Linked DNA regions of Tribolium castaneum. The protein of the gene in region 1 purifies or fractionates together with the protein of each later gene. This does not show direct contact. Links are inferred from orthologs where the notes say so. Each region holds a gene or a part of one and is shown in the gene's direction. Other genes may lie near its edges.

Region 1 (3,259 bases):
TCCGTTCGAGTCGTTGAGTCTTTGTTGGAGGTTCAGAATTTCGTCTTCGAGATTTTTTATTATTTTAAATGTGTTGTCCTGACTTTGGAGACTTCCAATAATTTCCTTGTCTTTAATTTGCAATTCCTTCGACTTTAAATTAATTGTTTCCTCTAATTTGACTTTCGTCCGAACGACTGTGTCTTGCAATTCATTTAATTTCGCTTCGTACGAATTTTTCAACTACAAAAAAATCTCGTACCTGACGAAATTAACAAAAACTATTATTTACTTGTGTGAGTTGGTTTTTCGGAATAAATCCTTCGGTGTTTTCGTGAAAAATTCGCAGCTCTGACTCAAGGAGTTCAACAGTAGATGCGGCATTTTGCCATAATTTGACCGCTTGTTCTTTTTCTTCAATTACAGTGTGCAGTTGTTTCTTCAAATTTTCAACCAAATCGCTCTCTTTGTACGTATGTTCAACTTCACATTTAGTTATATCGACGTAAACTCGCCCTAATTCATCTCTCAATTGACTATTTTCGTGGAGGGCTCTCTTGAGTGCTTTTTGTTCGGCCTAAAAACATGTTTTAGTCACACTTTTGTGAAAAAATTCACAAATTTGTTACTTGGACGTCGTCCAAATCCCCGGTCACCTCCTTGAGAGCAGCCTCATAATTTTCAATAAGTGACTGGAAATTTCTACAGAACGATAAATTCGTATCTTATTTATCTATTCCAAACTTACTGAATATTAATATCCCCTGAACTTATCATAATAATAACTCCAAAAAACCATTACGATGACATTTTTTGAAGGATTTCAAATTTTGAAAATGTGACAGAGACATCTGCCGAAGGTCACACCAAACGAGCACAAATTAAAACAGTCAAATGAGGATTATTCACGTTTATTTCAATAATTGTGCGATTATTTGCAAATAACGAAGAATTTTGACCAAATGTGGGTGTAAATAATGTGGCGATTTGTTTGTGTTTACGGGGAGTCGGTCTAATTTTACAGGTGGAACGATCGATAAGTGTCGGCGCTAATTTCGAATGAAGCGCCGAGCAAAAACCTAGAAGGTATTCCAGGCGAAGAGGCTGCTGGTGTATTTTGCACTGTTCTATTTTTGTTTCTGTATTAAATTGAACGACTTGTAAAAAACATCTTAATAAAATAATTACACGCTGAAAGCTTTTTTTTTACCTCAAACACTAAAAATTTTGCTTGTTTATTGATTACACTTACATTTAAATTGCCTGATTGCAAAACAATAAAAGAAATGTGTTTTTTTACGCTTGCAACTTATTGAATTTTGAAAATTTTGGGGAGACATCTGCCGAAGGTCGCGCCGAACTAGCACCAGCTGTAAGGCGAATAAGAGTGAAATGACAATTATTTCCGTTTATTTTAGTAACTGTGCGATTATTTGCAAATATTTGAAAGATTTTCGTTAAATGTGGGGGTAAATAGTGTTGCGGTTTGTTTGTGTTTACGGGGATCGACCTAATTTCAAATATCTGGTGCAGTGGCGATCGATAATTTTGGCGCGAAATTTGAATTGAGCGCCAAATATGAAGTGAGTGAATCCCAATTTTTGGCGCCACTTGAGCAAATAATTTTCCAGTACGAAATTGTATGTAGATATTGGACCGGAACAATGGCCGATTATTTATCGCCCGGAATACAATGTCCGTTTTTTGGGGTTGGAAAAATTGCACCCTTTCGACGCCGGCAAGTGGGGCAATATTTATAAATATTTGAAAAGTTGTGGTTTAGTTAACGACGAAACGCTTTCGGTGCCAAATGAAGCAACAACTGAAGACTTATTAACGGTGCACACTAAAAAGTATTTGAAAAGTCTGAAAGTAAATATTTTTGGGGGTTTTTCATGCGGTAATTTTTTTCTTGTAGTGTAGTTTTAACGTAGCGCTGATAGCGGAAGTGCTTCCGCTGTGTCTCGTGCCAAATTACTTGGTTCAAAGGGGATATTTGCGTCCGATGCGGTTCCAGACTGGCGGTTCTGTTTTGGCGGGAAAGTTAGCTCTGGAACGTGGCTGGGCAATAAATATCGGGGGCGGTTTTCACCATTGTTGCGGTAGCAAAGGTGGTGGGTTTTGTGTGTATGCTGATATAACACTATTGATCCATTTCGTGTTTAATCATCACCCTCGGAGCGTTCAAAATGTCATGATCGTGGATTTAGACGCTCATCAAGGTAATGGATATCAGCGGGATTTTAAAGATAATCCCAACGTCTACATCATAGACGTGTACAACAAAGGGATTTACCCGTTCGACAAACTTGCCAAGGAGTACATCACCCGAAAAGTCGAACTGGCACACTTTACCGAAGACGACGAGTATTTGGACAAAGTTGCAAAAAACCTAACCGAGGCGCTAGCCGAGTTCTGCCCCCAGCTGATCGTCTACAACGCCGGGACGGATATTCTCAAAGGAGACGCTTTGGGGTGCTTATCAGTCTCGCCCCAGGTTGATACTAATAACTGTCATAACAATGAAACTATCTGATTGACTTTCCAGGGAATCATCGAACGGGATGAACTGGTATTCCGGGAAGCCCGTTCCCGGAACATTCCAATCGTCATGCTAACCAGCGGCGGCTATTTGAAAAAATCGGCCAAAATTATTGCCACTTCGATCAAAAACCTACACGATTCGGGCCTAATAACAGGCCCTCAACTCCGCTACTAAAACTGAATAAAACACATTTTTATTATCTTGTTGATTTATTAAACTGGTCGTAGAATTCCGACGTTGGCGTGTTTTTATAAACGACTTTCTCCAAAAACTCCTTACGCTGTTTTTGCTCCACTGCCAACTTTCGGTTTTCCTCAGCTAAACTTTTCACCATTTCCCTGAAAAAACACATTTCGCTACATCCTTTTAAATTTTAATCACGAACCTCTGTTTCCGGGCTTCTTCTTTGTCCAGTAATGATATTGTGCGTTGCGTTCCGTTAATGTAATCGTCGTATTCCCGATTCATCCGCTTTTCCAACTCTTTGCGCTTCTAAAGAATTAAAAAGGAAATTAACCCACCCCGAGGCCCTTTCCAATATCTTTATTAAAGAACGTTAATATTATTGGGACGGTCCACTTAAACTAATTAGAAAAATTGCTGTTTGTGTGCCAAGGGAAGGACGTGCATTTTCTCCTGAAGATAAATTAATCATTTGGGGGACAGAAGAGACTTTCCTCTAGTGTTGTATATACCTATCATTTTTAGACGGCTTTATCCATCTTCTAATTTTTT
Region 2 (4,095 bases), about 7.5 Mb from region 1:
GCCTTGCAAAAAGCAAGGTGAAACTAATGAACCTACTTGCTAATTTAATCAAAAGCAATTTTGAAAAATTCCTCTTATAAGCAGGTTTATTTGGAATGCTTTAACATTGTAGAATATAAAGAAAAATAGACAATTAAATGAACGTCTTATTTTAAAGTCAGACAAATCAGTTAAAGTCGGTAATACAATACAGTTTATAGAAAGCCTTGTTAAAATTTAATTTGTTGTTAAAAGTTAACAACGCGAATCGACCAATCAAATTTGTTCAATTTGATCACATGAACAGTTAATCACGCATTTAATTGCAAATTAACTTAATGACGCTTCCATAAACCCATCCTATAAATATTAAATATTTTATAATAACTACAAGTTTTATTTTGGAGATATAGAAATATTTCAAAGTAGTTCTGGTAGTTCTAAACGAAAGTTAATAGGGCTTAATTTTACAGAAATTATTAAAGTATTGTTCATCTGCAAGAATTGCAAGCTAAAAGTAGAAGTTTTAAATTAAAAACTTAATACATAGGAATAAAGATGATCCAAACAGTTTATCCAAAAAAAATAAAAAAATACTATTACTAGTTTGTGTTTTTATCAAAACGCTACGAATACAGTGGAAAATATAAAAAAATGTAAAGAAAAATGTAAGGGTGTAGAGAATTAAATTTCCTATTTAAGTCCGCACATATTTTCAATGGGTAAATTAAGGTGTAAATTAATTTTCCCCACCTGACCAGTGGTAAAATGAAAAACCGTGCCTTCAGCATCTTTATTCTTTATACTTCTTTAGGGCCTAAGCGGTTAAAAATAGTGATATTGTCCCGACCATTAAAAAAAATAAATTCTCTATACTTTATTCCTAACAATTTTCTTGTACCTTTAACCATGTTCATTGTGTAATGAAAAAAATGGAAGAAAATGTGAAATAAATTCTTTTTCTTGTTTTTTGTATAAATTTTAGTCATCAGTTTTTCTCAATCTATTACGAATGTAAAGCCCTACATTTCCGCATTTTTTCCAAGTAATAAGTGATTTGGTTAAATTAAAATTAATTTAAAACGTTTTGGCGCTTGTATCTATGGCCGAATAACTCTGGAAGCGCCCTCATTTTTCTCTGTCGTACTATATTTTTTGGGTACAGAAAATCGTGCGATTTTCTATCTTGTTTTGTCTCCCGATATAAACTCCTCCGTAACGTAAACATTACAGCTTCATAAACGATTACAAACGTAACGTACCTTAATAATTGTTATTTAAATAATCGTAGTAGAATCCCACTTGTGGGGAGCTTTTTCTCGACAGAGGGCGCTATCGCAAAGCGACCTGACGCAAAACATAACCTCTGCTTTTTTGCCACCCGAAATCGATTAATTTGTTGTAAAAGTGTGAAAAAACGTGTGAAAATGTCGGACGACGAGATGGAAAAGTTCGAAATAACGGATTACGATTTAAACAATGAGTTTTACCGTGGTAGAAAAAAGTTAAGCAAACACCAGCAGATTTATGGTAACAACTTGACTCCACATCTACTATCTACCCATTTAGGTGGAACAAACCCAAATTAACGACTAGTTCCGTGTAGGTATATGGGCAGACGACAGTGATAATGACGAAGAAGAGCGACCTTCGTTTAAATCACGAAAACCTAAAAATTATTCCGCCCCGATTGGTTTTGTTGCGGGGGGTGTCCAACAAGCGGGTAAAAAACCCGAAAATGTTAAAAAAGAAGACGAAAGTGATGAGGAAAAACCAACGACGAGTTTTAAACTTAAGGATAGCTCAAGTGATTCAGAGGATGAACGTCCAAGGCCAGGTGGGGGCACAAAATATCAAACTTTTTCCAATTTGAATATTTCAGGGTTCGGTGGGGTCCAAGAAAGTGGGGACATTGCAGGCCTACGTAACAAAACTCACTCGCAACCTATGCAAGGGGTGGGAAATTGGGAAAAACACACAAAGGGGATTGGGGCAAAGCTTCTATTACAGATGGGTTTTCAACCGGGGAAGGGGCTAGGGAAAGACTTACAAGGGATTTCAGCCCCGGTGGAGGCCCACTTGAGGAAGGGCCGGGGGGCTATTGGGGCCTACGGGCCAGAAAAATCCGCAAGCATTCCAAAGAAAAAGGTAAACAAAAATAATAATTAATAAATTGTTTTTAACTTATTTTTACCCTAAAAGGGCCGATTTCATAAACACATTTAAATCTTGATTTAAATTTAATCGACTTTGTCATAAACTCTGTTTCACAAGGTCTTAGGGCCACTTTCATAAACGAATTTAAAGAAGCATTAAATTAAATGTTTAGTATGTAAAATATACCTATTCTTATCCTTTTATTCGATTTTTATGAACAATTATTTCTTTATCGTTTTTTAAAATCTTTACATTTGGAGATAAGTCTTCTATCACTTTGAATGGTCCATTGATGAAAATTGCACTTAACTTCTCACCTGTTTCGTTTTTTATTAACACTAAATCGTTGGATTAACACTTTTATCATAGTTTATTTTCCTAGATACGAGATTTTTATGAGCGTCATGCAGTTCTTTGCAGTTTATACTTCATTTTTAGCACATAACCATTAAAATTATACAAAGGCACAATCTCATTGGTTAAATGAGGTAAGTTATATTTTTTCCTAAAAACTAATTCAAAGGGAGTGTATTTAGTTTCGGAATAAACTGTTGTATTAAAAGGAAAACCCGAAATGGTATCCAGAAGTTATTAATTGGAACTTTTGTTTTTGGTTAAAATTATTAAAAATGCACCAAGATTTTTATGTTTTTTCTCGATAGCTCCTTAACTCATCATAATAAGCGTAGATTTCAAATGAGTTATGTTTAAAATTTTGCAAACTTTGGTTCTCGTACATGGTAAAAATTCAGTACCTTTATCTGTCCTATTAACTCGAAATGAAATTTTCTACAAAAGCTCTTGCAACAGTTAGTGTGTTTCGTCGGTAAAGCATACGCTTCCACAAATTTTGTAAGTTCGCACTAAATTGCTAAAACGTCGAATTAAAAATTAATGCCCCTTTAAGTTTAAAGCGTGGAGGGAGAAGATTCAAGATTCTCCCTGCATTGTTCAAATCCACAATTTTCGCCTATTAATACAGGGTGTATCAAAAATACGTGTGTGAATTTTACCACATAAAAAAACTCATCAAATAAAACAACTTTTCTATACAGGGTGTAACGAAAAGATGTTCACAACAGTGAACAGTGAACAGTTCACAACAGTGAACCATAGATTCCCTGTCTTAAAATAGAGCGATTTAGGCCAACTTATTTCTATACCAAGTTGCACCGTTTAAAAGTTAGAGGGCGTCAAATTAAAAAAAAATCGTTTTTTTTATTTTAGTAACTTAATTGGAATAATCGAGTTTCATGAAATTTGGTACAAGTAATTTGTCATCGAAAATTGTTGATGCTAATACTAACAGCATGTTTTGAAATAAATGCTCAATAAAAAAAGTATTTGCTTTATTTCATTCACTTTGTTTTGAAAAAAACCTCGACGTCAAAGCAAATACTTGCTAAAAAAGCTTTTACTTCCATTATTACTCAATACTCATACATTTTAGAGCACTTATTTAAACACATTATTTAAACAATTTCTGTTAAAAAACGGCAAAGAGGGGCCAAATTACAAAACAGTATAAAATACTCGTTTCATTTTCATAAGGCCTTGAAGCACTCATTTTTGAAAATTCGTGCTTAAAGACTGGTCTTATGAAACTTGTTTTTTAATATACTATTTCTTTATTTGATATTAATGTTGTCACCCTTTTCATTTCAAGCTGAAAAATTACGAAATTAGACTAGTAATTAAAGAAATGAAATTGACTTCATTTAGCTTATTTTGCTCGATTTTAAATTTTGGCCAAAATTGTTGTTAAACTTAAATTTTTGGCTAGATTTTGCTAGAAAATTTTCGGGTGCTTTTGCACATTTTCCATCCAAAAATGCAATTATTTCGCAAAATTTCGTTAAAGTATACCGTAAAATAACCAAGATTGGCCGAAAATTGTCTTATTGTTGTTTTTTGGGTTTAAGTATGTTTTTTGACGTCAAAACCTAGCTTTTTGGATTA
Region 3 (4,290 bases), on another chromosome or scaffold:
CCTTCTGTGCAGCATAAATGCACAAAAGCTCGCCAGTTACTCCGATTGGATAGAGAACAATAAATGTTGTATATCTAAAACGGTGAATAAAATCTTTAGCGTCTTTCGGGCAAAAACACATTGCATTAATTTGTTTTTGTAATTCGCTGCACGCTGCAGTTAATGTAACACCGAAAACAAATGTTTTAATCTTTTTACATACGTCAACAATATGTATTTAACTACAAAAAACAAACTGCGTATGTTTTAACTTTTATCACAAACAGCGGGCGGAAATCGTATTGTTTGAAAACAATCTTACCTCAACCACGTTACAATAAAAGGGACACCCCCTGTTAAATTTAAGGTGTAATTTCCGTATCGAATTATTTCCGTTACGGACCACGCAGCAAGGGCTAAATGTAGACCAATGGTCTCACGGCCCGCTTTCGTTGCTAAAATTACGCCACAAACCACTATCACTCTGGACGCAACTTGCATGGCAGTAATGAGCGGGTTTGAAGGCACTATGCGTATAAGGGTGTGCACCACTTCCAAAACGGCCGCGTTTTGAAAAATAATTAAGGACCATTTCACCGTGTCGTAGAGAGATTGGCTTTTAGAAGGCGATAAGTGATAACTAACGAGTAGGTATAAGAGATAGGACCACCTAAAAATTGTTAAAAAGTCAAAGGAAATAATCGACTGATGGGTTAAAGTTCACCCAGGTATGTTTACATCTAAATAAATTGATGAATCGACAAAATACTCGTACAATAGACTGAATCGCATGAATAATGTGGAATGTTTTTCGAATAAAAAAAGAAAACCTTTACTTTTCATTAGCGGTTTTTTTAATAAAACCGGCTTATTACGATGTAAGCAAGTGAATGAACGATTTTTGTTAATTAATTATGATTGTCTGACTGGTTTTTGTATGTAATTAAGTTAATTCGATAATTTTTCCAGAAAAAATTCCAATGAATTAAATAATGAGATACTTAAACTAAATGAATTTTTAAGCACTTACCCGATAGTTTCTATGAAATTATACCCAATTAAATACGTTTTAGCAAAGGCAGAAATCTCTTTTTTGGGTTTATTTGATGGTTTTGCATTGGCCATTTTTTAGAAGTAGTAGTGAACACAAAATCTGGCCACTGGAGTAAAAATGTAACGGGCTTACAAACTACTAAACTGAGGCAATGGAATGACCCCCAAAAGTCGCGTCATCGACGCGGTGCCCCCACTTTTTCTTTAATGATCCAAAGATAAAGGACGACCAGTTTTGAACTCTTAGTTAGGCAACCAACTTTATCACACTTTTGAATTCGATAAAACCACACAAAAGACACACATTTACAATTTATCACCACTTATTTTTTATTTGTGAAAATTGAAAGCGTAAAAAGAGGTTATGTTTGGAAACGTCAACAAAACGTCATCGTGACAGCAAACTAACATAACCAATAATCCTTTTCCAAAAGTTGCAAATCGTGTTAAACAATTTTCCAAAGCATGTCTTTATTCCGCAAACCGAAAAAGACAATCCAGCGGCGCGTGTTCACCGAAAACGACGATGACGACGACGAGCCCATGGACGTGGAGGCGCAGCCCCCTCAAGACCGCGACCACAAGAAAAAATCCAAACACAAGCCGAAACAGCCGCTCCTCAGCTTCGAAACCGAGGAAGAAGGCGAAGTATTCCAAGTAAAAAAGTCCTCACACAGTAAAAAGGTCATGAAAATGTTCGAAAAAGAACGCCAAAAGAAGAAAGAGACCAAGCCCGAAAAAGACCCCAAACCCAAAGTCAAGACCGAGATCGTAACGGACGACTTGGTCCTCGTAGTGAACCACAAACCGGCCCCGCCCTTGATTCTGAGCGGCCGTGACGCCCTATGTGCCGGAAAGGACGATTTATCCGACGAGGACGAGGCCCCAACCACCCACAAATTCTCCAAACCGGACAACTTCAAGAAGGTCTTGGAATCGGGGGCGATCCCCGACGCCGCCATGATCCACGCCGCGCGAAAGCGCCGCCAGCGGGCGCGCGAAATGGGGGACTACATCCCAGTGGAGGAGGAGGAGCCCGAGGACAAGGGGCGCTTGTTGCGGGAGGATGATAACGAGGGGAGCGACGACGAACGAATCGACATGGACGTGAATTTGGCCCTCAGGGACCAGGAACGGAGGCGGGAGCAGTTTCTAGCGGCGCAGGAATCGGATCAGGAGGTGGACGAGTGGGAGCACCAACAGATCAGGAAGGGGGTCACGGGGGCCTCCGCCCTCGCCTCCGATTTGTTGTACACTGACTACCAACCCGAACCTACGGCTGTGGCAGCCCCCGTGCAAGCCATGGACCCCGGGGTCCCCCGGACCCCGCAAATGATCGCCGATAAGTTGCGCGAACACTACCAGAACGTGTGCGAGTCACGCGAGGCCAATATCAACAAATTGCAACAAAATCAGCAAGACATTGAGCAAATTTCCAAAGAGTTGGAGGAATTAAAGACGAAAGCGCCAATCGCCGCTGAACGATTCAAATTCTATCAAGAACTTCGGGGTTATATCACCGATTTGGTCGAATGTCTGGACGAGAAAGTTGGCGTGATTGCAAGTCTGGAACAACGGGCTATGGACCAAATGGCCAAGCGCTCCGAGTGGCTGATTGAGCGCCGGAGACAGGACGTGCGGGACCAGGCTGAGGAGGCGACCAACAAGGCCGGGATGAAGAAGGTGGCGGAAGATGAGGAAAAGGTGCGGCGGGCGGCTGAGCGCGAGGGGCGGCGCACCAGGAGGCGCAGGGCGCGCGAGATCGGGGGGCAACCCAAGCACGTTGAAGGCATGTCCAGTGACGATGAAATCTCGCAACAAGACATGCTAAACTTTGACAAGGAACGCGAGCAACTCGATGGGGAAATCCAGGAGGTTTTTGAGGACGTGGTCGAGGACTACTCCTCAGTTGCGAACATTTTGATCAAGTTTGAGGAGTGGCGGGAGACCGACTTGGCGGCCTACAACGAGGCTTACGCCACGCTGTGCCTCCCTAAGGTCGTGAGCCCCCTTGTACGCCTCGACTTGATTTTTTGGGACCCGTTGAACGACTCCGTCGACATCGAAAAACTGGATTGGTACCGAACGTTGGCCCTCTACGGCCTACACGACGACGAAAGTGAGGCAACTCTAGCCCAGGACCCCGATATCAACCTCCTCCCCACAATAGTCGAGAAAATAATCATTCCGAAGCTAACACAATTAGTGGACCGGTGTTGGGACCCCTTGTCCAGCTCACAGACGTTGAAACTGGTGGGGATTATCACTCGCTACGTTCGCAAGTTTCCGACACTAGGGCCGGCGAGTAAAGCGTTGAATAATTTGTTCAATGCCATTTTGCACAAAATGAAGTGTGCCCTCGAACATGACGTTTTCATTCCGCTTACACCCAAATTGATTGAGAGCAAGTCGCCCTTTTTTCAGAGACAGTTCGCCAGTGGATTAAAGTTGCTGAAGAATATTACGAGTTGGCAAGGTGTGCTCAATGATAATACGCTCAAAGAACTGGCGCTGAATTCGCTCCTGAATAGGTATTTGTTGAGTGCGGTCAAGTTTTGTTTGCTGACTGATGCCGTGTCCAAAGTTAGTTTAATTAGTTTGATTTTGCCGAGGGTTTGGCTGCAGGGTAATACTCCCGAGTTGAAAATGTTCAGTTCGAGTGTGCTGAACCTGTCGCAGCAGTTGGATAAGAATAATCCTCTACATTTGGAAAGTATTGATATTTTAAACAATATTCTTAAAACATTGCGCACTTGAGTGGTTTTGTGTGATAATAAAAAGAAATTTTAATGTACCTACTCGTTGATTCTTTTATTAAACCTTAATCACTAACAGATAACAAGTAGAAAAGCATTGTGGGAGTCTTTAGTCCTACACCAATTATTTCACTCATGAGACTAATAACATGGCTCCGTTTGTTTTTCTGTTCACTTGCATTTATTCTGATTCAGGTCAGTATTCAACAAAGTACATCAAAAAATTAAATGTACGTTATTTCAGTCACCGTGCAAAAAAGCCGAACTTTGCGAATCAAACAAAATCGTTTTATTTGGCACATTTTTTAGCAATGTGGTGAACAATGCCATAATGTTCGTCAGGGTGCAAATGCAAATGTACAGAAAAATTTTCGTCGAGTACGATGTGGCAAGCTTCGAGAATTTTAGCATTTTAACGGACATTTTTAATTACGGTTATGAGATGCAAGATAACTTTTGGAACATTATTCGTTTAACTACGCATTCTTATTATGCTAACAAT

What was found. Proteins that work in one complex are often made in the same cells at the same time.
Region 2: the proteins of HDAC11 (region 1) and sip1 purify together in Homo sapiens (co-immunoprecipitation; 3 studies listed by BioGRID and IntAct, counting the BioPlex papers as one, with this or other methods). This does not show direct contact. The link is inferred for Tribolium castaneum from reciprocal best matches to the Homo sapiens genes HDAC11 and TFIP11.
Region 3: the proteins of HDAC11 (region 1) and PAX3- and PAX7-binding protein 1 purify together in Homo sapiens (co-immunoprecipitation; 3 studies listed by BioGRID and IntAct, counting the BioPlex papers as one, with this or other methods). This does not show direct contact. The link is inferred for Tribolium castaneum from reciprocal best matches to the Homo sapiens genes HDAC11 and PAXBP1.

Annotation. Positions count from the first base shown.
Region 1 is NC_087402.1:4,112,429-4,115,687, reverse strand, and holds HDAC11 (histone deacetylase 11), read left to right. Parts: upstream 1-1,316; 5' UTR 1,317-1,557; coding exon 1,558-1,562; intron 1,563-1,610; coding exon 1,611-1,851; intron 1,852-1,897; coding exon 1,898-2,476; intron 2,477-2,527; coding exon 2,528-2,698; 3' UTR 2,699-2,720; downstream 2,721-3,259. Other genes in the region: myosin-9, read right to left, coding at 1-222, 272-556, 609-681, 728-756; RIB43A-like with coiled-coils protein 2, read right to left, coding at 2,721-2,862, 2,910-3,016. UniProt on the Homo sapiens protein: Responsible for the deacetylation of lysine residues on the N-terminal part of the core histones (H2A, H2B, H3 and H4).
Region 2 is NC_087402.1:11,583,656-11,587,750, forward strand, and holds the start of sip1 (sip1/TFIP11 interacting protein), read left to right. Parts: upstream 1-1,295; 5' UTR 1,296-1,406; coding exon 1,407-1,509; intron 1,510-1,585; coding exon 1,586-1,816; coding exon of another isoform or gene 1,817-1,861; coding exon 1,862-2,127; intron 2,128-4,095. UniProt on the Homo sapiens protein: Involved in pre-mRNA splicing, specifically in spliceosome disassembly during late-stage splicing events. Intron turnover seems to proceed through reactions in two lariat-intron associated complexes termed Intron Large (IL) and Intron Small (IS).
Region 3 is NC_087398.1:7,514,917-7,519,206, reverse strand, and holds PAX3- and PAX7-binding protein 1, read left to right. Parts: upstream 1-1,490; 5' UTR 1,491-1,497; coding exon 1,498-3,789; 3' UTR 3,790-3,824; downstream 3,825-4,290. Other genes in the region: Hacd1 (very-long-chain (3R)-3-hydroxyacyl-CoA dehydratase hpo-8), read right to left, coding at 1-74, 302-649, 1,010-1,104. UniProt on the Homo sapiens protein: Adapter protein linking the transcription factors PAX3 and PAX7 to the histone methylation machinery and involved in myogenesis.